6 linked regions of the Macaca mulatta genome follow. The protein of the gene in region 1 interacts with the protein of each later gene in a pairwise test. Links are inferred from orthologs where the notes say so. Each region holds a gene or a part of one and is shown in the gene's direction. Other genes may lie near its edges.

Region 1 (3,500 bases):
TTTGTGATGAAATGGAGCCTGGAGCAAACTCTTTTCGGGTAGAATTTCCTGATTTTTCCAGCACCATCCTACAGAAACTGAACCAGCAGCGCCAGCAAGGACAATTATGTGACGTCTCCATTGTTGTCCAAGGCCACATTTTCCGGGCACACAAAGCCGTTCTCGCTGCCAGTTCACCCTACTTTTGTGACCAGGTACTCCTGAAAAACAGCAGGAGAATTGTTTTGCCTGATGTGATGAACCCAAGAGTGTTTGAGAACATTCTCCTGTCCAGCTATACAGGACGTCTAGTAATGCCCGCTCCAGAAATTGTTAGTTACTTGACAGCGGCAAGCTTCCTCCAGATGTGGCATGTGGTAGACAAATGCACTGAAGTTTTAGAGGGAAACCCTACAGTCCTTTGTCAGAAGCTAAATCATGGCAGTGACCACCAGTCACCAAGCAGCAGTAGTTACAATGGCCTGGTAGAGAGCTTTGAGCTGGGCTCGGGGGGTCATACTGATTTTCCCAAAGCCCAAGAACTGAGGGATGGTGAAAATGAAGAAGAGAGCACCAAAGACGAGCTGTCATCCCAGCTCACCGAGCACGAATACCTGCCCAGCAACTCGTCCACAGAGCATGACCGCCTGAGCACGGAAATGGCGAGCCAGGATGGGGAGGAGGGCGCCAGCGACAGCGCCGAGTTCCACTATACCCGGCCCATGTACAGCAAGCCCAGCATCATGGCTCACAAACGCTGGATCCACGTGAAGCCCGAGCGCTTAGAACAGGCTTGCGAGGGCATGGACGTGCACGCGGCCTACGACGAGCATCAGGTCACAGAGTCCATCAACACCGTGCAGACCGAGCACACCGTCCAGCCTTCGGGAGTGGAGGAGGACTTCCACATTGGGGAGAAGAAAGTGGAAGCCGAGTTTGATGAACAGGCTGATGAAAGCAATTATGATGAGCAGGTGGATTTCTATGGCTCTTCCATGGAAGAGTTTTCCGGAGAGAGGTCGGACGGGAACCTCATTGGGCACAGACAGGAGGCTGCCCTCGCAGCAGGCTACAGTGAGAATATTGAAATGGTAACAGGGATTAAAGAAGAAGCTTCCCACTTAGGATTCTCAGCCACCGACAAGCTGTATCCTTGTCAGTGTGGGAAGAGTTTCACTCACAAGAGTCAGAGAGATCGGCACATGAGCATGCACCTCGGTCTGCGGCCTTACGGCTGTGGCGTCTGCGGTAAGAAATTCAAAATGAAGCACCACCTCGTGGGCCACATGAAAATTCACACGGGCATAAAGCCGTATGAGTGTAATATCTGTGCAAAGAGGTTTATGTGGAGGGACAGTTTCCACCGGCATGTGACTTCTTGTACCAAGTCCTACGAAGCTGCAAAGGCTGAGCAGAATACAACTGAGGCTAACTAAAAATAGGATCTGGCCCTTGAGTGGCATGCACAAAAATAAACTATGGTAATTAATGCAAATCTGGGCACAGATGATGCGTGCTACTTGCTATTATGAGAGAAGCTTAAAAAAAAAAAAGGAAGATATTTCTGAAAGACCAGCTCTAAGTAGGCCAATTAAAAAAATCTAATTCCTCAAATTTGTGTGTTCCAGTCCTGGCCTGGAATGGGTAATGGGGTGAGTTAACCCACCGCCCAGCTGGCAAGGGAAACCTTCTGACCGGTTGTGATTGAAACAGGTGGACAGATACACCTGCACTTGGAACTGGACTCCACCCACCAGTTCCGTTTCGGGTGGCAGCAGCTTTGGATCACTCATTACTACAAGGTCATGCTGAAATTTTATTTTGCTCTTGCTATAGATACTTAGGTAATGTGGATTTGTTTTGATAGCTATTTCCCTGAAGGAAGTGCTACTTATGTAAAAGCTACAACTAATGTGATTCCTAGGATGAGAAATTGGTTAACAGAGCTCTGTTGTCTGGTTTTATTCTTTCTAAAGGATATTTTCACTAAAACTATGGAGATGCTAAGAGAATGACGTTCTAAATATGAAACAGATAACTTACGGTACAAGGCTGACATAGTGCCCTTGTCAGTTTCTGTAAGATGCCACTACTGTCACAAGGTGTTTCAGACTCTTGATAAGGCAGTGTTTTGTATTTTAGTTCTAACAGTTGAGTTTGGACATTTGTATCTAATTGTAATTCTCTAGGGTGCCAGAGATAGGTATTTCTCATTGGTTTGCTTTCCCAAATCCTGTTTGGTTAATTGTAGCCTCCATGCAGTGGGGTCTGCTCTGTGGCTGGTAGACACCAAGCTGCTGTGACTGACCACGGTACCACGGGCCGCTGCAGCCCCTGCTCTGTCTTAGATTATGGTGCTTTACAAAGAGAGTGGTCCATGACCACACTTAGTGGGAAGGAGCCCCAAGTTGTGGCTGAGAGTTCCCTGTGAACTTCGGCAGTTCATGGAGTGCTAAGGTGACACTCCACCAACCAGAGTGAGAGGGCAGATAGGCCGGATTCTATGAGTGATTATACTTAAGGGGAAAAAACGTGCCCAAGGAGAATCTTGAAAATACACTCTTTCAAGGTGGGGGAGATACTCTTTAGGGGGTACACTGAGCTAATACTGCCAGTTCTTTATGAGCGCCAGAATGTGCTTTTAAAAGGAGTCCTAAGTTTAGCAAAGTAGTCTACAGAATCATGCTCCCAAATTATAGATAAAGCTGCTTAAACTTACAAGTCCACAAAGCTATGCCGACCAGAAAAAAAAAAACACGACAAAAAAACCAGCAGCTATTCTGAGACCTTTTCTGCCCATCAGCTAGATGGTTTAGGTTAAAAAGAAAGGTATATTACACATGCTTTTAAGCTGTGTAATGTACCTGAGGTTATCACCAGGGTAGGACAGGGTGCTACTACTATGTCATCTTTTCCATAAACGTACTCGGTTATTTACTTCTAAATAAAAACGTTTTTCCTTAAAATAAAAATAATTTTTCTTGGATTTGGGGTGACATTTTATTTGAAAAGTTTGGCTTTGCTGTAATGTAATAGACATTGCTGGCAATGGCCTCTGATTCTCAAGCTCCTAACACCAAGGTGTTTACTCATTAAACATTTGTCTGGAAAGAGGAAGGAAAATACTTATTTACCAGTTAACTCTTGTAAGCAAGATTACAAACAGGGATTTATTCACAACACTGTATCATTCTCGATATATAAAAAGCACTTTGTATTTAAAACTTTATTATAAATATATATATAGAGAGTTTTTTTTTTTTAAACCTAGAAACTAGATATTACCTCTTGGTTGTTTACCACATTAATAGCTTCTCTTAGTATTGAAACGTTACTGGTTAGCAGTCTTTTCTCTGTGTACCTGACACATGTATACAGAGGGGACTGTACAATCAAGCCTAATGTCTCCTTTTTCTCATGGTAGAGGCCAGTGGGGTTTAGGTATGATCCTAGCCATTATATTTGAGGAGAAATTGTTCTATTATTACCAGTTTCAGTACTAAAGTGGTGATGCCATTCTG
Region 2 (4,024 bases), on another chromosome or scaffold:
TGACATCTCTACACATTAGTTTTCAATCTGTAAAATAGGACTGATAATATGGATGGTGTGTGAAAACATATACTGTGCATCATTTATTATTTTGCTTTACATTCTGTAGCACCCTCTAGTGGTGTATACAAAAATATGCATTGCATTTCTACTCTCCAAAGCAGTGGTTCTCAAACTTCAGTGTGTGCTGGAATCACTGGGATAGTTTGTAATAACACAGATTACCAAACCCCACCGTGAGAACTTCTGATTCATTAAGTTTGAGGTGGGACCTGAGAATGTGAATTTCTGACAATTTTTCAGGTGATGCTGATGTTTCTGGTACATCCAGGAAACACATCTTGTGAACCACTGCTCTAAAAAAATCCCTCTTGTGTACAAGTATATAAGATAGATAATTGAAAGGGGTATGATTTTTGTTGTTTGACTTTGATCTAGTACTGCTCATCTAATAAGGACTTGGTGATAAATTAAAAAAAAAATCGACATGAAGGATATAACACAGCATCTAAAATATAGAAAGCATACAAAAAACTGAGGATCACAGAACATAAATCATTTGCCCAGGGTACTGAGACTAGTAAGTGGTGGAATGAGGTTAACAATTAAGTCTCTTTCTCTTACTCCAAAGACACAATAAAGTCTATCAATACCACTACAGAAAATAGGGTGCAAACACACATATCTGATACAAATTTCAAGAGAAAAGGAAAATCAGTTTTCAATACCAGGGTCCAAGTTTTACTGATGAGTTCTTATCTCTTTACTAAAGTAACAGCTATCTGTATTTTCAGTTTGGGTGAGTTGCGAGCATTTGAAAAGGTGAGGAAAAAGGGTTAGGATCTTCAGCATCAGTGCTTGGGTCATTCATTAACTCTTTGATTAAACAAGGCAAGGACAAAAGAAGCGAGGGATGGAGAGGGGCCTTCCCCCCCGCCCCCCCACCCAAGGAGAAAAGGAAAGAAATGAGTAAAATTATTTGGATCTTGGGTCACAGTTCCCTGACTACTAGTGCTATTCACAGAAGCTGATTTTATTTTTTCCTAGGAATGAACGATATCAATGATGCCTTAGATATTAGCGTTCAGCAAATCAAGAAAGGGGAGGGGGGAGGGAAACAAAATCCCAGAATCCCAGGGACCACACAGCCAATCCTTTGCTGGGATTTGGCGGCATCTAGTGGCGAACTCGAGAGGTATAAACCTTACCCACAGAACTTTCTGGAAAATTAACAGTGCGTATTTGCCTGAAGAAGGTCAGTGTGCTTGCTTGGAGATCAGGACGCAAAGGTAAGAGCGCCCTAGTCACCATAAAAATCCGGAGTCTCTAACGGAGGGGAAGGCTGTCATAGATAGATATTCTCATAGGAAAATTGTATTTGTGCCAAGAGAACTGCACGCAACCTTGAAGGGAGGGGGGAGGTGTGGAAGAGGGGAGGGAGGAGGATACTAGACAACTTGAAAGAAGTCTCCCTTTGGAGTTGCTAATGTGACGATGGAAGGCTTTGGCTCTGAATCATTGGAGGGCTGTGGTTTACGACCGGATTTTGGCACAGAGGAGTATTTAAATCAGGGAAAGCCAAAATATTTCTGACAGTGCCCCTTTATCTCTGTTATTGTCGCCTTGCCTTAATTATTTATTTTCATTTTCATTAGAACATTTTCAAACAAAATACAGAAATAGATAACCTGCGCGCAGTAGCTAACCCCTCCCCGCAACTCCCACCCCAATCACGCACGCGGGCGCGCGCCGTGGCTCTCACCAGTCCAGACGCCAGGGGCGCACGCCTGCGCAAACACATCACCTCCAGCGCCACGAGGGCCGCTCACACAGCAACCCCAGGGGCACTCGAGCCTGCCCGCGCACTAACACACTGGCCTTAATGCCTTGCGCCCGTTGCACTCACGACCCTAACTCGCAAACACAGCAGAACCCCCCACTGCGCCTTTTTTTTCCATGTTCGGGGAGTTGCGCCACAGGCCTGGGGGCGTGGCTCCAGATTTGACCTCGCGCTTCCCCACTCGCGGGAACCTTAGCTCATTTCCGCCTATTTCCGCAGGCCACGTAGACACTTCCTCTCCCAGTGGGGGGCTGGGGGGAAACACAAACCCATAATGCCTCCCTGCAGGAAAAAAATTAAAAAAAAAAAAAAAAGGAAAAGGAAAAAAAAAAAAACCTTCTGGTCAGAGGAACTCTGGGTCGTGAAATAGGCCACGTGAACATTCTGCCCTATAGACTTATGACCCAACGGCTGTCACGCTTTTGGAGGGCGGGCTAAAAACCTAAGAGGGCGAACGTCATTGGCCGGAACTCGCACTGACGGAGGAAGAGGATTGGTTTGCTGTAGGCCTTAACAGTGAAGAAGCAGGTTGCTAGCACCCGCCTTTACTGCGGCGAAGTGTCATTGCTGACGTGGGGGTGGTTGTCCAATCATTTGGTTATGGAACATTCTAAAACTTAGACAAGACGATTGTGATTGGCTGAAGGGCATACGCCCTCCTCCAGGGTGACGTGTCTGCCTATGGATATCAGTTGCCAGAGAAACCTGGCTTTACTATGGCGGTTGGAGGAACGGCAGTGATCACACGTCGTCTGCTGGGAAGATCTGGATTCTCGTTTCAGGTTTCGGGGTGGGGGTGGGGAGAAAGGGTCGATGATTTCCTCTTTTCGTCGGGTATAGACGGGATTAGCTAGTTCCTTCACAATCGGTCAGAGCTGGATTCAGATTCCTGCTCGCCAACGCCCAGCTTGGGCAAGGCTCCTGTTCTTTCTGTGTCTCGGTTTCCATGTTTGTAAAATGGTGATAATAATAGTATCTACCTCAGAGACGTGTACTGTATAATGGTGCGTATAAGGCACGTAATATGAAGCCTGGCCCCTGAAGATATTAGCTATTGTTATGGAGATAAATAATACACGTAATAGAATGAGAAAAATTATAAATTATATAAATTCGCTAATTGTAGTGCCCTTTCTGCCATCAACTTCTTTCCTAGAATAAATTAAAGATAAAAGAGATATATCAATTTTTACCAATGAAATAATTTGCTCTTTGGGAATTGCCTCAAAATTGCAGAGATTGTAATTTTCCCATGTTGAAAAGTTAAATAAAAGGTGGGGGGGTGGAGTGCGAGAAAGAAAGAGATGGAGAACGAGAGCGAGCTGGAGATGAACCACATGCGATGAGTAGGCCTTGTTTGGATCCTGAATCGAACACACCAACTGTAAAAATATGTTTAAGACGCATCGGGAAAATTGGAACATGGATTCGATATTTGATGTTTTTTAAGGAATTGATGTCAATTTTTTTAGGCGTCACAGTAGTATTGTGATTATGTTTTCAAATTGTCCTTTTTTGTAGAGACATATACGAAAATATTTACGGATTAAATAATATAATGTCTGGGATTGGCTTCTAAATACATTAATGACTAGGATTTGCTTCAAAATAATCTAAGCGGTAGGGGGAAATGGGGAGGGGTATAGATGAAACAAAATTGACCCTAAATTAATAATAGTTTTTGCTGAGTGATAGGCAGTGGGTTCCGTATATTAATCTGCTTTCCTTGGTATACGTTTAAATTTTTGTATAATAAAATACAGAAGTCAGATATTCCCGTGAGCTTGAAAAAGTCGGGGGTGGGGGGGAGCAGTGGGTGGGGTTATAGATGAAACAAGATGGCCTTCAGTTGGTAATTGTTGAAAGCTGGATGATGGATTCGTGTAGGTTTGTAATACTATTCTTTTATTTCATCCATTTGAAATTATCTTTAAGGAAAAGTTAAAAAAATTGTCAGAAATTATATAAATATACAATAAGTTAAATTTGAAAATGTAGCCACAAGAAAGGAAAAAGAAATACTTGTACATTATTTATCAGCTTTGGTGTCCTTTGTGTGTGATGAAATTGCATTGGCTGATGTAGAAGAAAGCCATATCTCATATCTTTTTATTTTATGTCCTTTCCTGTCCTTTTGTTTGACCTTCTAGGTCACCATCAGAAAAGCTAAGTTTGCTGTATAGT
Region 3 (3,963 bases), on another chromosome or scaffold:
GGACTTTCACTTATGGGAGAGAGAAAAGTTTCAAGGTAGGGAGAGAGTTTTTGTTTTGTGTTCTAAGAAATTGGGAACTATATCCTTCACCTTGTTTCACCTTCCCTGCAGAATCAATGGGGGAGTCCTTTGAAAAATAAGTGGGTAGAGTTTCTTGTCCAATTGGCTTCCCCTTAGGCACAGCACTAGGTAAACCATCATTCTCTCCTTAGGCACACTATTATTCTGTTCGCCATTTCACAATGTCTGTCTGGATGTATAAAAGCCCTCTCAACGGGCTCCCTAAAGCGTCTGCCAGTAGTGGCTCCCACCCTCTTTCCTCAACACTCCCAATCCACCGCAGCCCAGAGCACTGTGTCTGGTTATCTAACCATCTGACTCTCCCGTATACTACATTCTTGAGCTGTTTTTCACCCCCCTATTTGCTAGCCCTGGGCCGTACATAGGGTGGGCCCCTACATTTTGTTAAACTGGAGGGATTCTACGCAAATGCACGCTCACCCTGCAGAGAATTGTATGCCTTATCTTCAGCACTAAACTAAAATCTAATCAAGGAAGTCCGGATCCCATAGGATTCTTGCTACTCTCCAGTTCGGTTTATTTTAAGCCCAACAGCCCTAGCTTCACGTCCCTCCTTCGCAGCCTTCTTTCCTTCCCTCCTGCCGGATGCGCCCAGCAGCCGTTGAGCCCAAGCCCCGCGGATTTGGAAGGAGACCCCCCCATCGGGGAAAAGGGAGCGAACTTGGGCGCAAAACCCGCCCGGCAACTCTTGACGTTATCTCGCCCCGCGCTCGGATGGACTGTACTCACTCCACGCTGGTTGAGATGCTCTTAAAGTCCTTTGTAACCCAGATTGGAGCCTGAGGGGACCTCTCGTGGACGCCCACAGAAATGCACTCGAGAGGAACATAAAAGCATCACACTTCAGCGCTAGAAAGAAAGCACCAGGAACCCATACAGGCTCCTCCCAGCTCCTTCCTTGAAGCTCCTCCTTCATCCTGCACCTCGGCTGTTGATTTATTTCCCCTTTGTTGACTCGGCCATCGGCCTGCCGTGCCTGGGCTTTCCCAGAAGGCCCAGCGCCGGGAAGGGGTTTGCAGCTGCTCCGTCATCGTGCGGCCCGACGGTAGCCCGCGCTGGTGTGTAGGCCCGGCTCGGCTCCTGGTCCCCGGTGCTACGGTTCACGCGAGGCCCCGGCCTCGGTCCCCGGACTAGGCCGTGACCCCGGGTGCCATGAAGCAGGAGGGCTCGGCGCGGCGCCGCGGCGCGGACAAGGCGAAACCGCCGCCCGGCGGCGGAGAACAAGAACCCCCACTGCCCCCGGCCCCCCAGGATGTGGAGATGAAAGAGGAGGCGGCGACGGGTGGCGGGTCAACGGGGGAGGCAGACGGCAAGACGGCGGCGGCAGCAGCTGAGCACTCCCAGCGAGAGCTAGACACTGTCACCTTGGAGGGTACGGGAGCCCAAGCCGGGAACGTGCCGCGATCACGGGTGACAGCGACCCCTGTGATTCGGCTTCTCGCTGGGAAGCCAGAGCAGCCTCCACAACCCTCAGTTCCTTGGGATTACCCCCAGATACCTGCCCCCGCTACCCTGACACTTCCGACTCCAGGCCCAATGACTGAACCCTTCTCTCCAGGCTGGGAACCACTCCCCTCCCATCCCCTCCATCCCCATATCTGGGGTTGCATCTATATCTAGGTTCCACTGGGCCTGGGGACTCCTTCTTCTAAGTCCTCCCCTTTCTAAGCCCTCCCCTCTGACCTATTCCATTTATATCCCACCTGACTGATTTTAGCGCCTCCAATATATGACTGATTGATCCCGCTAGAAACCAGTGTTTGTGTCTACGTGTGTAAACAGGGCCGGAATGACCTAGAATATCGACTCCTGATTTTTAAAACTGTACAGCAGATTTTTGTTGTCCTAGCTGCCTTTAGCACACTCCCCCGAATGAACCATTTCGACCTAGTATCTTGTTTCCTATTTCTCTAACTGAAGTATCCCCACAGTCCCTTTGCTGTCTCCTTCTCCCTTCAGGTCCCTACTGCCCCTCTGTTTCTAAAGGGTCTAAGTACACACACACTTAAAACTTTTCGGGTGTCATCTTTGGTTTTGTAATACTAACCTTTGGCCTAAACTGCTGTACACCAGTGTCTCCTATTTCTTTTCTCCGAGGTTCCTGTTTCAAGTATCCGTAGTCCTCTTGTTCCTCCAAGTTCATGTTTTACTTTTCCCACTTAGAGCATCCTGTCTCCATTTGAAGTGGGTAAAGTGAGAGCTTCCCACTGTGATCCTGGTGCCGTTTTCGTGGTTCTGGATCAAGTGGGACCACACTACTTACTAGGTTTTTTTTTCACTAAAATGCATGAGAAAGTAGCTCAAAAACATTGAGATAAGGAAAATTATCCTCCTAAGTGGTACATTTGAGGATGTGATGCTGTTGACCACAGCTCTTAACGGTAAAGTTGAGCAACAGGATCAATATTTGATAGACATCCTTTTGCCTAAAGTAGTGACAGCCAGTGTCAAAGGTGCCACTCAGCATTGCCTACTGGGTGTGTTTATTACAAGCACTTCATTTTCTTGTTGTAAAGTAATTCATATTCATTGCAGAGATTTTGGAATGTATGAGAAGTTAAAAGCAGGGGGAAGAAAACATGGTTAACATTTTTTCTTATGAATTTTTGAGCTACTCTCCTATAATTGAGAGCAAGTTATGTATATAGTTTGTATCAAGGCATAACTAAATATAAATTTTGAATTTTATGTGTTTTCATTAACATTCATAAACATAATCAGCAATTTATTCCAGAAACATTTGTTGAATACCCAATATAATGGTTAAGAGTAGTACAAGTTCTGGGCCGGGCGCGGTGGCTCAAGCCTGTAATCCCAGCACTTTGGGAGGCCGAGACGGGCGGATCACGAGGTCAGGAGATCGAGACCATCCTGGTTAACATGGTGAAACCCCGTCTCTACTAAAAAAAAAAATACAAAAAACTAGCCGGGCGAGGTGGCGGACGCCTGTAGTCCCAGCTACTCGGGAGGCTGAGGCAGGAGAATGGCGTGAACCCGGGAGGCGGAGCTTGCAGTGAGCTGAGATCCGGCCACTGCACTCCAGCCTGGGTGACAGCGTGAGACTCCGTCTCAAAAAAAAAAAAAAAAAAGAGTAGTACAAGTTCTGGAATCCATTCCCTCATCTGTGTAAATATGAGTAATAGTACAATACTTTATTGGGTTGTTGTGAACATTAAAATGCTTAAAACTGTGCCTAGCACATAAATATCAGCTGTTATTATTATATCTTAGTGTGGCCCAGATACCCTGTGCTAAGTGCTAACTATACAGAAGTACCTAAGAAACTACTCATTGATTGCATTCCCTTACTGCTTTGCATTTAAACTGTTTCTAGTTTCTTCCTATCGTAAATAACTTTGAAGCAATCATCTTTGTGCCCAACTTAAAAAAATCTACTTTTATAATTATTTCTTAAGTACAGATTCACACCAAAACCTATATACCTGAGTTAAAAAGGCTGAACATTTTAAAGATTTTTGATAGTTATCATCCAGAAAAACTGTGCTGATTTACATTATACCAGGAGAAATGTAGTTTTCACTGTACTCTATAATTTTTTTTTTTTTTTTTTTTTGAGACAGAGTCTTACCCTGTTGCCCAGGCTGGAGTGCAATGGCGCGATCTCAGCTTACTGCCACCTCCGCCTCCCAAGTTCAAGCGATTCTCCTGCCTCAGCTTCCCAAGTAGCTGGGATTACAGGTGCCCACCACCATGCCCGGCTAATCTTTTCATTTTTAGTAGAGACGGGATTCACCATGTTGGCCAGGCTGGTCTTGAACTGCTACCCTTATGATCTGCCCTCCTCAGCCTTCCAAAGTGCTGGGATTACAGGCATGAGCCACCGCCTCCCGCCTATAATTTTTTTAATGTTACTAATTTGGT
Region 4 (4,111 bases), on another chromosome or scaffold:
AAGCACCAGGAAGGCGAATGGGGATGCCAGAGTCCCACTTGTTCTTGGAACAGCAACCAAACACCTCCAGCAGGAAGGCAGCCCGGATTGCACAGTATCGCCTGCGTCGTGTCTGCCTGGTCCCTGCCTGAGTTCCTAACCTTCTCCTATCACAGGCACAGGGGTCAAGGTGGAAGCTGTGAACCTTCCACAATTGCCTCTCCCTCGTCCCCTAAACTTAGGCCCACGCTACGGTAGCACCAACTGGGTCTTCAGCACTGTGGACAGAGCCAGAGAGCGCCTCAAGGTGGAAAAGCCGCCTGGCTGGGCCAGGGTCCTCACAGGCCTCGCCTTAGCCCTTGGTGCCCAAGGCACTAGCTGCTAGAGGATAGCAAGTCTAAGGGCCGGCTGGCACAGATGGCGCGCAGTGGAGACCGCCAGTACCTAGGGCTCCGAATCTCCTCCCTCCGGAACGTGAGTCACTGCTCGAGTCACTTCCTACAAGCGTGTTAATGAAGAGGCAAGACCCTCTTCCCTCGCCAGCCACTCAGGCATACACCAACCCAGCGGTTTCCAGGGGCTTCAGCTAAAGTTTCCTTCCCAGCTCCGGGAGAGCAAATGGACCGGGGTCTGGGGCTTCAGGCGAGCCCCTCACAGAAGCGGCCCCACCGCCGACAGGTGGAGATCAAGAGACTCCCGTGATAGGCCCCCCAGCAGGGCGCTGGTCCCCCGGCCTCCCTGACCATGGCTCATAGACTTCCAGCGCTGAGTGAGGAGCCTCGAAGCCCCTCAGCCAATCTGTTCCTGGGCCTCACTCCACAGTTTCTGAGGGGATCTCTGCTTTAAGTCTAGCCTCAATCCTCCCGTTTAGCTTTCTGTCTTTCTTGTTATGCTTGGCAGAAAGATACATGATCTCTGGTGCTGTTTCACAGAAGCAGGGAAGTGGGTCGGCGGAACTGAGCGCCCTACGCCCTCTTGAAATGGCCCCCCATTCCTATTCGCCAGAAACTTTCCCCTCCCGTTGCCATGGAGAGAGACCGCCGCTGCCTCCCGTCGCCATAGCAACATGCGGGTACGGCTGACCGCAGGATTGCGGAGCTCGGAAAGTCTTGCAGTTCGCATCGCCCGCCTGTCTTGGGGTCTTCTACCTCCGAAGCTGGGACTCGGGGACCAGTCTAACTTCTCCCGTCAGGAACCTCTGCCAAGGTCCCCCCAGACCCAGCCTGACCGTCGCTCTTTCTGTTACGGGGTTATCTATTTCCCTGTCATTCGTGCGGCATGTGGCAGTTTCCCCAGTGTTACCACAAACACGATCGTTCTGTCCCCAGGGAGCCCGTGAAGTACTTAAAATCATTACACCACCTTTACGGAGAGGAAAATTGAGGCTCAGAGACGCCCAAGGTCACACCAGGCAGTGAATGCGGAGCGGGAACCCGGACTCCTTCTTGGCCTTGCACCCTCTGAGATTCGGGACAGCCCGGCTCCCCGCCTCGAACCCCCTACTCCCCGGACTCAGACCAGTCCCTGAGTGTAGAGGGGGCGGCCGCGAGGCGCCAGACTTGCCAGCTGCCGCGGGATGCCACGTGAGGGGCGGGGACCCTGCGGGGAAGTGATTAAAAGCAGAGCGGAGCCGCAGGGGGCCGCTGCAGGGAGGGTCTTCTTGGGGCCGTTGTGCCCCGCCCCAGTCCGGCCGCGGCGCGGGTTCGAGCTGCTGCTCGGCAGGCCTGGGTGTCTGGGGCATGAGCGGGGTGTGGGGGGCCGGCGGGCCTCGGTGCCAGGAGGCGCTCGCGGTCCTCACCTCGCTGTGCCGGGCCCGGCCGCCCCCTCTCGGGCTGGACGTGGAGACTTGTCGGAGCTTCGAGCTGCAGCCCCCAGAACGGAGTCCCAGCGCGGCAGGCGCAGGTAACGGGAGACCCAGGGCCCCTTCCCTTCCTGGATATCCGTCCTGAGGTCTCCCTTCCCCAAAGTCCCGGTCCCAGGAGCCCCAGAACCTAGCGAGAACTCTCCAGCTAGGGATTCTGGATTGGGAGCCAGCCTCGTCCAGCCCCCTGACCCATCGCTTGCACAGCCAGGAGAGACCCGAAGGGGACCGGGGGTGGGGGTAGAACCCCCCTGGCCCTCCCGTATTACTACTGCGGACTGCGGGGGACCCCGCAGACAGCCAGGCTCCCAGGACCGGGCACCCTCGGGGCTTCAGTTTCCCTCGCATCTCCAAGCTCGCTCTGCGGGCAATCTACCAGGAGAGGGGTCCATGGAGAGCGGGAGACAAGGGGCGCCCGGCTAAGGAAGAGAGCTCGCCTCCTAGCAAGTGTCGAGGTCCCGGGGTCCGTGCGTCGGTCTGTCCGTCCGTGTGCGTGTTCTCGCGGTGAACGCGGGCGGACCCCCGGTCTCTCCGGGAGAAACTTGGGTCTGCGGCTGGCACGAGGTCTTTGTGTCCGGGTGTCTCTCCAGCTGCGAGTGGTTTTCCGCGTCTCCGCTGGGGGGCGGGGGACGGGGGGCGGGGTGGGGGAGGGTATGAGGGTGTTGCGGCGTCCTTCCCCCACCCCCCTCGCCCCTATAACTCGCTCCCTCCGTCCCTCTCGGACTCGGACTCGGGGCGGGTGCGCGACTGAGCGGGCGCCTCTCGCCGACTTTGCCAAGAGGGCGCCTCCTGCCCAAGCCGCGCGGACCCTGCGCCGGACGCAGCCCCAGGCGGCCGCCTAGCCGAGGCGGGAGCCCGAGCCGAGTCGAGCTCGCCGGAGCGGGTGAGTCCCGAGCCCGATCCCCGCCGGGCTGGACCCCGGCGCGCAGCTGCGGTGTCTCCGGGGAGTCGCGACAGCGGGAATGGCGTGTCGCGCCCTGGCGGCGGCAGCTGCGGGAGGGTCGGCGACGTGGCGGCCGGCCCCGGGTATTTACCTGCTGCACCAGTGCCCTGCAGTCACGCTCGCCGGCTGCCGCGGGGCTTCTTTGTCCCGACGTCTGGAGGGTCCCGGGCGGGAGGGAGTACGGGGTCGTGTCCCCTCCGTGGTGGAGGGGCTGGGGGGGTGAGAGGCCTGGAGAGAATGCGGAGTGGGGGTGGGGAGATCCTGCAGGGACCAGGGCACCGGGGTTCCAGGAGGCTCTGCGGGCTCCATTCCTCCTTGTTCCCCGACCCCGACTCCAGTAGGGCTGGGCCTAGGAGTACTCGGGAGTTGCCCAGTGGCTCCGCATCGCTGGCGCGGGAAGGGGAGACAGGGGCTGCCAGAGGCGGGAATTTGGTCCCCACGCCCTGCTCCAGGGACGAGATGCCAGGGACCGGCGGTTCCAGGAGCAGGTATAGGTGGGGTAAACTCCCCAGCGGCTGCAGGTCCCAGGGTCCTTTCACTTGAGGTTAAAGGTCGTATATAGAGGTAGATACCCGTGAGGAACAATTCAGGGGAGGGGGCAGTAGGCCAAGGGGAGCCTTGGGTGTGTGAGGGGGCTGTATCCAGCCTTGGGGTGATTGGAGCCCACCTGAGCCCCGTGAGGGTCGTAGGAGGCGCTGCTCTCCCTAGTTGTGGCAATGTTTAGTCAATGGCTTGATCACTGCAGCAGAAGGGACTGAGGTTAGACATAAAGAAGAACTTTTAGAGGGTAGTATGGAGATGGAGGTTGGGGAAGTTGATTCCCTGCCTTGGAGATTCGCAGAACACGTTAGGCCTAACAAGTTATTATTATAAGACTCTGGTTCTCTGGTGCCATCCCCTCCCACACCACCCGTTTCCCCATACCCACCAGACACAGAATTTTCCCTATCAGGGAGTCTCTTCCTGCCTCTCCCTACTCCCCAGCTCCCTTCCATCTTTTCCACCAAGGATCCATCTCCAGCGGGGCCTTAATGCTGGTCCTGACCCTCAGAGCCTACAGGGTGAGAACATACCTGTGGAGTTCCACCTGGGATGGAAGCTGCCTCTCCTGTCTGTTCAGGGCAGAAATGCCAGGGGTGAGGGTGGAAGTTGCTGGCAGTGGGGCAGGGCTGTATGTACGCAGCACATCTTGGTAGGGGGAAGCACTGGTGTTCTGACTCCAGAGGGATACCCATCATCTGCAATGACAGGTGCCTGGATGGCCAGGTTGAGGGTGAGAAAAGCCTGAGGGGTGAGAGTCAGCAGGCCCAGATGAATTACTATGCCTT
Region 5 (3,500 bases), on another chromosome or scaffold:
CTGTAGTCAGTGGCAGGGGAAGGGGCACCAGCCGACCCACCTCGCCAGCCGCTCGCTTTTATGTTCACTCTGGCCTCATCCCTGCGGTGTGGGTGGACTGTGATGGGCTCAGCCGATCCAGTCATGCAGGTCACTCGGGCGCCCGTTTCTGACGGCCACAGGCAGTGCAGCATTGGGCACACTTGCTCAGCTCCAGACGTGTGCACTTGGGTGTCTCCGCGACCTGGGCCGGGATTTCTGGAGGGCGGAGGCTCCAGACACGGAATTGCCAAGGAGAGTGCTGCCCGGAAAGACTTCCAGCGCGCTCCATGCAGACCTCTTCGCTTTCTTACTTTCTAAGCCATGGGACGGGACAGTGGCCTTGCTAACCACGTTCCCCTCTCCCCTGGGGACCCTTGACTGATGGTTTATTGAGCCCAAATCTGGGTGCCCTGGGGTGCAAAGGCAAGTCCCAGGGGACAGCTTAGAGAGAGCCGAGCAGGGAAGCGCTGGGGCTGCGGGGGTCCCTGCCACAGTGTGCTGCTGCACGTGGCTCCACCCCACACGGGGCAGCACAAAGGCAGCTGTCAGAATGCCGCCTTCCTAAGTGGCTTGCAGAGCTGGCAGCTGGGTCAACATTTGCCTCCAGTTGCGATCATGTGAGTGGAGCCTCGTACTTACACAGCCGGGCCCTCAGCAAGCATCCCTTCAGCACCCACTCTGGGAAGTGCACCGGTTCTGGGTGGCTTGTCACACCTCAGCTGAGAAGGTCCCGATTGCTGCCCACAGGGCTGAGATCAGCCTCATGGACTGAGCGGCTTTTCAGCTCCACTCCCTGGGCCTGCCTTCACGGCATTCGTGACCTCATGTGTTTAGTTACAGCTGGCTGCCGGGACAATCCCAACTCCCTCAGGAGGAGGCAGCACCCAAAGGGAGTTAGGGGCTGTCACAGTTGAGAAGAGGGCACTCCGAGAAGGAGGCAGGCGAAATCCCAATGCTTGGGCTCCTGGAACCCCGGCCGGTGAGGGTCCCGAGCTCCTGAGCCTCCGCGTGTCCACTGAGCACCTGCTGCCACACACGCTGTTTCCAGTGCTGGACATGGCAGCGCACAGCCGCACGTGGCTTCCCGCAGCAGGGAGACAGAGACAGATAAGCAGGCAGTCGCAGGGAAGCTGTTGTGCACCATGGGATCAGGGAGCTGCTTGTGAGATGAGGACAGGACAGCACCAGGAGGTGAGGCTGGGGAGGTGACAGAACCAGAGCCCTTGGGGCCATGTCCAGTTCCCTGCCCCTCCCCAGGCTGTCATTTGCTTGGCCCCTCAGTTTTCCCGATTCTCTCAGAGGGGGCAAGCTGGTGAGGGTCTGTTTGTCTACCCAGTGCTTTTTGGACATCATGCAGAAAACTGCACAGACTCTCCTGCCACTCTGCAGACAGGAAACACAGGCCCTGCACCATGTTAGCCTGGCTGGAGCCAGCGTCTGGCCCCAGGTGTCCAAGTCGGTGGCCTTTGGTGTGGGCATGGCCTCATGCAGCATGGCAGTATGCAGTGGTGGCCAGGGCTGCAGCCCCTGCGATTTTTCTGCCTGTCACTCTGTGCCCTCAGCACGGGGCCTCCGATCTGTGCCTGTTTCCTGACTTCTAAAATGGATGCAAGAAGAGATGCTCCAGCATCTTGGCTCCCTCAGGACAGGCTAGGAGATGCAGGACCATCGCCCTGGTGTGGATTTTTAATTGCACTTTCAGATGCATCTCGGCATGCGCAGTGGGTTACAGCCCCTCAGGTCATCTCCGCACGGTCCCTTCCCCAGAGGTTGTCGAGGCGTGTGTGGAGCGATGCCTGGCGTGGTGGAAATGCTGTCAGTGTCAGCCACTGTGACTGGATTTAAGTTGATTATTTTGGATCAAGTGTTATCACACTTCAGGGTGGCCCTGGGAAGCAGGAAGGGGTCAGGACCCAGGAAGTGCCATCTCTCATAAGCCCTGGGGTGGAGGGGCTGGTGGCCTCCCCAGGAGGCCAAGAGGAGAAACAGCATTCAAGAAAAGCAAGTCTGGCCTGGTCCAAGAGACCCCAGCCCAGCCCACTGGGTGAGCAGGGACCATAAGGTCCTGGCTTGGGGCCAGCCGAGCTCATGGCCTCTCGAGGCTGATTCAGCACAGGGACCAGCTGCCAGGTCGGCCCGGGGCATTCAGGGGGCTCTCAGGAGGGAGGGACTGGTGCCTGAGAGAGAACTCTCAGAGGGGGCTCCAGGCACGCATCACCAAGCCCCATTGTGGCCTGAGGCCTAGAGGGCAGGACCCACAGTGTCCACCTCATGTCCACAGGGCCCCAGCGTTAAGGCTGGAATAGGGGGTGGGTGAGCCTGGGGACCCTCAGCCAGGCATGGGTTGGTTTGGGTTGGGGGTAGGCCTGAGCCACAGTTGGGACTCCCCCAGCTCAGGGGATACCCAGGAGAGAGATGGGCTTGGAGGTGAGAAGGGCGTTGAGAGTGGAGTGGCCAGAGGGTCACATGACGTGGTAGGAGGCAGTGGCTGGTGAGTTGCAGACCTCCCCTCACGCCCACACCACCCCCCCCAGGTCAGCGCCAATGGCAACGTCCTGCGCAGCGAGATCGTGGGCTCCATCAAGATGCGGGTCTTCCTCTCGGGCATGCCCGAGCTGCGCTTGGGCCTCAATGACAAGGTCCTCTTCGACAACACGGGCCGTGAGTACCTGTGCCAAGGGCCCTGCCCATGAGGACGGCTTCACCGGGCACGCACATTACAGCCCAGGGCAGGGTTGGGCCAGGCGGAGGAACAAGCTAGTTTCAAGCACTTGGTTTAGCAGCATTTCACCCTGCTTGAGACAGCTGTGTAGAGTATTCATCCATCCCGGGACATAGAAGGCGCAGGGGAGTGAAATCCTCCAGTCCAGCTGGGAGGCCCCCATCACCTGGCCTCACATGCCAGGTCTTGCACCCTGCCCTGCACTGCCCAGGCCGCTGGAGCTCAGGCTGAGGCCTTGCTCGCTCCCTCCCAGGCCAGGTTCTCCCTTCACCTTGGGCCCTAGGTGTGGGCTGTGTGAAGGCCACACACGGTGATTCTCGCTCCTGCCGCTGGTCTGTAACACTTCCCACGGCAGGGGTCAGAGGGGCTCAGAGGGGCTCAGGGCCTGGGTTTGCAAACTGTGCCTCCCGCCTCTCAGCTGTCACAGGCCACTGGAAGAGGGTGCAGTGGCTAGGCATGCCCCCGTTCCTGGCCCAGTGAGGGCTTCTTGGGCATCAGCCCATGAGGGCAGCTCCCCGCCTGGGGCTGGGCAAGGCCCCACCCACATAGCCCTCAGTGAGGTGGGAAACCGAGGAAGACCCAGGACCCCGTGGATGCCGGGGCCTGAGCCCTTGGGGAGCCCCGAGCCATCCCCCAGCCGAGTCCATCGATCAATCATTCAGTGAACGTGTCCTGAGCAGGTCCTCTGGCTGGGCCCTGGGGTGGTCGCTGGAGACTCAGCATGAACCAGACCCACCAGCCCTGCCCCCCGGGACCC
Region 6 (4,004 bases), on another chromosome or scaffold:
GGTCATGGTAACAGTTTTGGGGAATGCTCAAAATATACGACTAAATGACTTTTTGAAGGGCCAAACCATCATTAAATGGGCTTACTAACAGAATTTTTGAGAAAATTAGCCAAAGCATGAGCAGAAAAACCATTATCAGAGAGTTCTACCTAATCATGAAAAAGTTCTTGCTGTTGCATTTCACTGAACAAAGGGCAGTTTGGCAAAAGTTTCAATGGGAAATCATGAGGCGTCCACCTTACAGTCATGATGTGGAACCTGCTGACTTCTATTTCTTTCCTAGTATTAAAAATTCTGCAAACGGCACCCAGTTTTCTTCAGTTAATAATGGAAAAAAAGATTTCATGGAAATTGTTAAGTTCCCAGAACCATCAGGGCTTGAGGGACAAGGTGGGGGCAAGACAGTGCTTGAAAACTGTCTTGAAATTGATGGAGCAGATGTTAAGAAATAAAATCAAACGGTTTTATTTTGGTCTTTTAATCCCAGTTTTGACAAATGTTTGAAAGTCCCCTCACAAAACATCAGTCCTAGGTAAAGAGTTGTTATCCTGTATTGGTTCTTCTTTCTGTGATTTTATCTTGCTGTGTTATTTTCTGTTTTACTCCCAAGAAGACTCAGTCTGCTTTTTTTTTGAATCCACAGATACGGAAACTGATATAATGGTAGGCCAACGGTAGAACTCAGTGGGGTGTGTCGAGGCTGAAATTCACCTAATCAACCTCTGGGGCACAGCAGTCCACCTGGCGTGGACCGTCCCGATTGTCTGCATTGTGCTGACGGCATGAGTACGTATTGGGGCGGGGAAGCCCAGGAGCTAAGAGGGTCAGGGCTAGAGCCGTGAGTGTGGGCCTGCCGTGGGCCATATAAGGCCCAGCTCTGGCACCAGAGCTGCATTCCGTGTAGGACTGCAAACCGCAGAGGTCACTCCAGCTATGGCTCCACATCCCGAGGACTAGAAGCAGGCTTGCTCAGCGGTCTGCAAGGACCGGCGTTCCAGACCAAGTGGCCCGCTGCACTGAGGACTGAGCTTGCTCCAGGCTGTGGTGACTCCACGTCATGAGGCCTACGGTCTGCAAGGACCAGCGACCCGGAACCAGTGGTCCGCTGCTTCGAGGACCGAGCTCGCTCCAGGCTGTGACTCCACATCCCGAGGTCGCTGCCTGGCTTCGTGTCCCGCCGCCCCGAGGAAAGAGCCGAGACCTCCAGGACAGTGACGCCTGCACAGCTCTGGTGAGATGGCAGCAGGATCCATTACGCTGCACGCAGTGGAGAAGCTGCAGGTGTATCTGACCACTAAGATGGACCCGAAAAAGCTAGAGAAATATTTGCAGAAACTCTCCGCCTTGCCCATGACGGCAGACATCCTGGCGGAGACTGGAATCAGAAAGACGGTGAAGCGCCTGCGGAAGCACCAGCACGTGGGCGACTTTGCCAGAGACTTAGCGGCCCGGTGGAAGAAGCTGGTGCTTGTGGACCCAAACACCGGGCCTGATGCACAGGACCCCGAGGAGAGCGCTTCCCGAAAGCGCTATGGGGAGGCTCTTCAGGACCAGGAAAAGGCCTGGGGCTTCCCAGAGAACGGGAAGGTCCCCAGGAGCCCACCTGACAGTCCTGAGCACAGACGGACAGCACACAGAACACCTCCGGGACTCCAGAGACCTCACAGAAGGTCTCCCAGTCGCGAGCACAGAGCCCAGAGAAAGCGCCGCAGAAGGGCCCCAGCTGATTCAGGCCCCCATCGGGCCCCTCCATTGCACACCGCTCCCCTCCCGACGCCCGAGGGCCCTGAGCCGGCTGTGCCCGGGAAGCAACCCGGAAGAGGCCACGCTCACGCCGCTCAGGGCGGGCCTCTGCTGGGTCAGGGCTGCCAGGGCCAACCCCAGGGGGAAGCGCTTGTAAGCCACAGCAAGGGACACAAATCGTTCCACCAGGAAAAATGCCCCTTGTGTGCCCAGGGCGATTGGCACTCCCCTACTTTGATCAGGGAGAAATCATCCTGGGCCCGCTTAAGAGAGGAAACCCCAAGGATGCCCTTCCGGGAAAGTGCCAGGGACAGGCCGTCCTCGGGTGACGCCAAGAAGGACAAGGAAGGGGGACCAGCTGGCAGCAGCCAGCATGTCCCCGCCTTGGTGGTGGCTCCAGACGGTCACCCAAATAGGCCTCATCACAGACACTTGAACAAGAAGATGCCCAGTCTAGATGGCCCGTACCCAGGAAATGGGACACACCGCCTGTCCTCTGAGGAGAAAGAGCAGCTTTCCAACGACCAAAAGACTCAAGAGGGGAAGCCACCAACGGCTCATGTGGGCAGAAGGTCCATGAGCTCCCTCTCTGAGGTGGAGGAGGTAGATATGGCTGAGGAATTCGAGCAGCCCACTCTGTCATTTGAAAAATACCACACTTATGACCAGTTGCAGAAGCAAAGGAAAAAGACTGGGGAGTCTTCCACCACTGCACTTGGAGATAAACAAAGGAAAGCAAACGATTCAAAGGGCACTCGTGTGTCCTGGGATTCAGCTAAGAAATTGCTTCCTTTCGAGGAAAGCCAGTCAGAGAGGCTGCAGGCAGCCGGTGCTGATTCTGCAGGGCTGAAAACGGTGCCCAGCCATGCCTTCTCAGAGCTCTGGGACCCCTCAGAGGCCTGGATGCAGGCCAACTACCATTCGCTATTGGATTCTGACTCCATGACCTCCCAGGCAAAGCCAGAAGCACTCACTGCACCAACCTTCCAGGAGGAAACTGCTTTCACTGGAGGCAGAGTGAATGCTAAGATGCAGGTGTACTCGGGCTCCAGGCCTGCCTGTCAACCCCAGGTGCTGACGCTGCGCCAGCAGTGCATCCGGGTCCTTAGAAACAATCCCGACACCCTCAGCGATGTGGAAGGAATCCCCTACTGGTATCTTGAACCCGTTCTGGAAGGGTGGACACCTGATCAGCTGTATCGCAGAGAGAAATACAATCACGCACTCGCTGGGGACACAGATGAATTATGGAGGATTCATTGTCTCCAGGACTTCAAGGAAGGAAAGCCACAGGAGCAAGAGTCTTGGCGGGAGCTGTGCCTGCGGCTTCAGGACACCCGAGAGCAGCGACTACGAGTACTGACAGCAAATATCCGATCTGCACGTGAAAACAACCCCAACAGCAGAGAGGCAAAGATGATCTATTTCAACTCTGTGGCCAAGACGCCTTATGATGCTTCAAGGAGGCAAGATAAGTCTGCAGGAGCTGCTGAACCTGAAAATGGAGAGCTCAAGCTAGCCCCAAAGCCTGGGGTAAGCAGCCACGTTCCCTCCAGCAGGGGCAGTGACAGTGGTGGCAGAGACAGCAGCAGCAGCAATGTCCTTCACCAGCTCCCTGAGAAGAGGGCCAACCCCTGCCTAAGCAGCAGCAATGAGCGCGTGATGCTCGCGGCCAAAACTCGGAAACAGGCTGCCAAGAAAGTGGCCCCGTTGATGGCCAAGGCAATTCGAGACTACAAGAAAAGATTCTCCCCACGATGAACTCAGGACTTGCCTTGCAGGTAAAATCTGGAGGGAGGAGGACCAATGCAAAGTCAATGCGGGTTGGGGAATGAAACTTCCAATGGACACCAGAACCTTTAGCTTGGTGCAAAGTTGAGCCTTTGAATTCTGTAGGTGTCACGTGCTGGACCTGTGATTTTACCTCCCACACCCAACCACTACCTCCCAGCCTGGAGGACACCTCAGAATTCAGAAGATATGAACACATTCGGAACAATTATCTTTTGGTTGTTCACTGATCGTTTTTAAAATAACACCCTAGTTGTAATCATAAATAAGGAAAAAGATGTGAGATTCCCTTTTTCCTTTCTTTTTTTGGAAATCATCAAGTAGATAAGAACTTATTAGACAAAAATTCACAAGCCATTAGGTGACACTGATAACTCCAAATACATAAACTCTTTATTGTCGTTGTTGTTGTTGTTTTAATAAAACGCTGGGCATGATCCTGTATTCATGACCCATCCTCCTTTGGGAGG

What was found.
Region 2: the proteins of ZBTB43 (region 1) and MORF4L2 interact in binary tests that used the Homo sapiens proteins (3 or more experiments, as listed by UniProt). The two-hybrid records come from large-scale screens. The link is inferred for Macaca mulatta from reciprocal best matches to the Homo sapiens genes ZBTB43 and MORF4L2.
Region 3: the proteins of ZBTB43 (region 1) and PSMD3 interact in binary tests that used the Homo sapiens proteins (3 or more experiments, as listed by UniProt). The two-hybrid records come from large-scale screens. The link is inferred for Macaca mulatta from reciprocal best matches to the Homo sapiens genes ZBTB43 and PSMD3.
Region 4: the proteins of ZBTB43 (region 1) and SYT6 interact in binary tests that used the Homo sapiens proteins (3 or more experiments, as listed by UniProt). The two-hybrid records come from large-scale screens. The link is inferred for Macaca mulatta from reciprocal best matches to the Homo sapiens genes ZBTB43 and SYT6.
Region 5: the proteins of ZBTB43 (region 1) and AP1M1 interact in binary tests that used the Homo sapiens proteins (3 or more experiments, as listed by UniProt). The two-hybrid records come from large-scale screens. The link is inferred for Macaca mulatta from reciprocal best matches to the Homo sapiens genes ZBTB43 and AP1M1.
Region 6: the proteins of ZBTB43 (region 1) and ELOA2 interact in a two-hybrid assay, tested with the Homo sapiens proteins (2 studies listed by BioGRID and IntAct). The two-hybrid records come from large-scale screens. The link is inferred for Macaca mulatta from reciprocal best matches to the Homo sapiens genes ZBTB43 and ELOA2.

What each region holds. Positions count from the first base shown.
Region 1 is NC_133420.1:20,888,874-20,892,373, reverse strand, and holds part of ZBTB43 (zinc finger and BTB domain-containing protein 43), read left to right. Parts: 5' UTR 1-11; coding exon 12-1,415; 3' UTR 1,416-3,500. UniProt on the Homo sapiens protein: May be involved in transcriptional regulation.
Region 2 is NC_133426.1:110,318,700-110,322,723, reverse strand, and holds the start of MORF4L2 (mortality factor 4-like protein 2), read left to right. Parts: upstream 1-1,224; 5' UTR 1,225-1,289; intron 1,290-2,553; exon of another isoform or gene 2,554-2,630; intron 2,631-3,990; 5' UTR 3,991-4,024. UniProt on the Homo sapiens protein: Component of the NuA4 histone acetyltransferase complex which is involved in transcriptional activation of select genes principally by acetylation of nucleosomal histone H4 and H2A.
Region 3 is NC_133421.1:64,333,755-64,337,717, forward strand, and holds the start of PSMD3 (26S proteasome non-ATPase regulatory subunit 3), read left to right. Parts: upstream 1-1,163; 5' UTR 1,164-1,233; coding exon 1,234-1,453; exon of another isoform or gene 1,454-2,862; intron 2,863-3,910; exon of another isoform or gene 3,911-3,963.
Region 4 is NC_133406.1:126,086,681-126,090,791, forward strand, and holds the start of SYT6 (synaptotagmin-6), read left to right. Parts: upstream 1-1,311; 5' UTR 1,312-1,718; coding exon 1,719-1,881; intron 1,882-4,111.
Region 5 is NC_133424.1:16,699,891-16,703,390, forward strand, and holds part of AP1M1 (AP-1 complex subunit mu-1), read left to right. Parts: intron 1-2,555; coding exon 2,556-2,682; intron 2,683-3,500. UniProt on the Homo sapiens protein: Subunit of clathrin-associated adaptor protein complex 1 that plays a role in protein sorting in the trans-Golgi network (TGN) and endosomes.
Region 6 is NC_133423.1:45,344,822-45,348,825, forward strand, and holds ELOA2 (elongin-A2), read left to right. Parts: upstream 1-1,236; coding exon 1,237-3,504; downstream 3,505-4,004. UniProt on the Homo sapiens protein: SIII, also known as elongin, is a general transcription elongation factor that increases the RNA polymerase II transcription elongation past template-encoded arresting sites.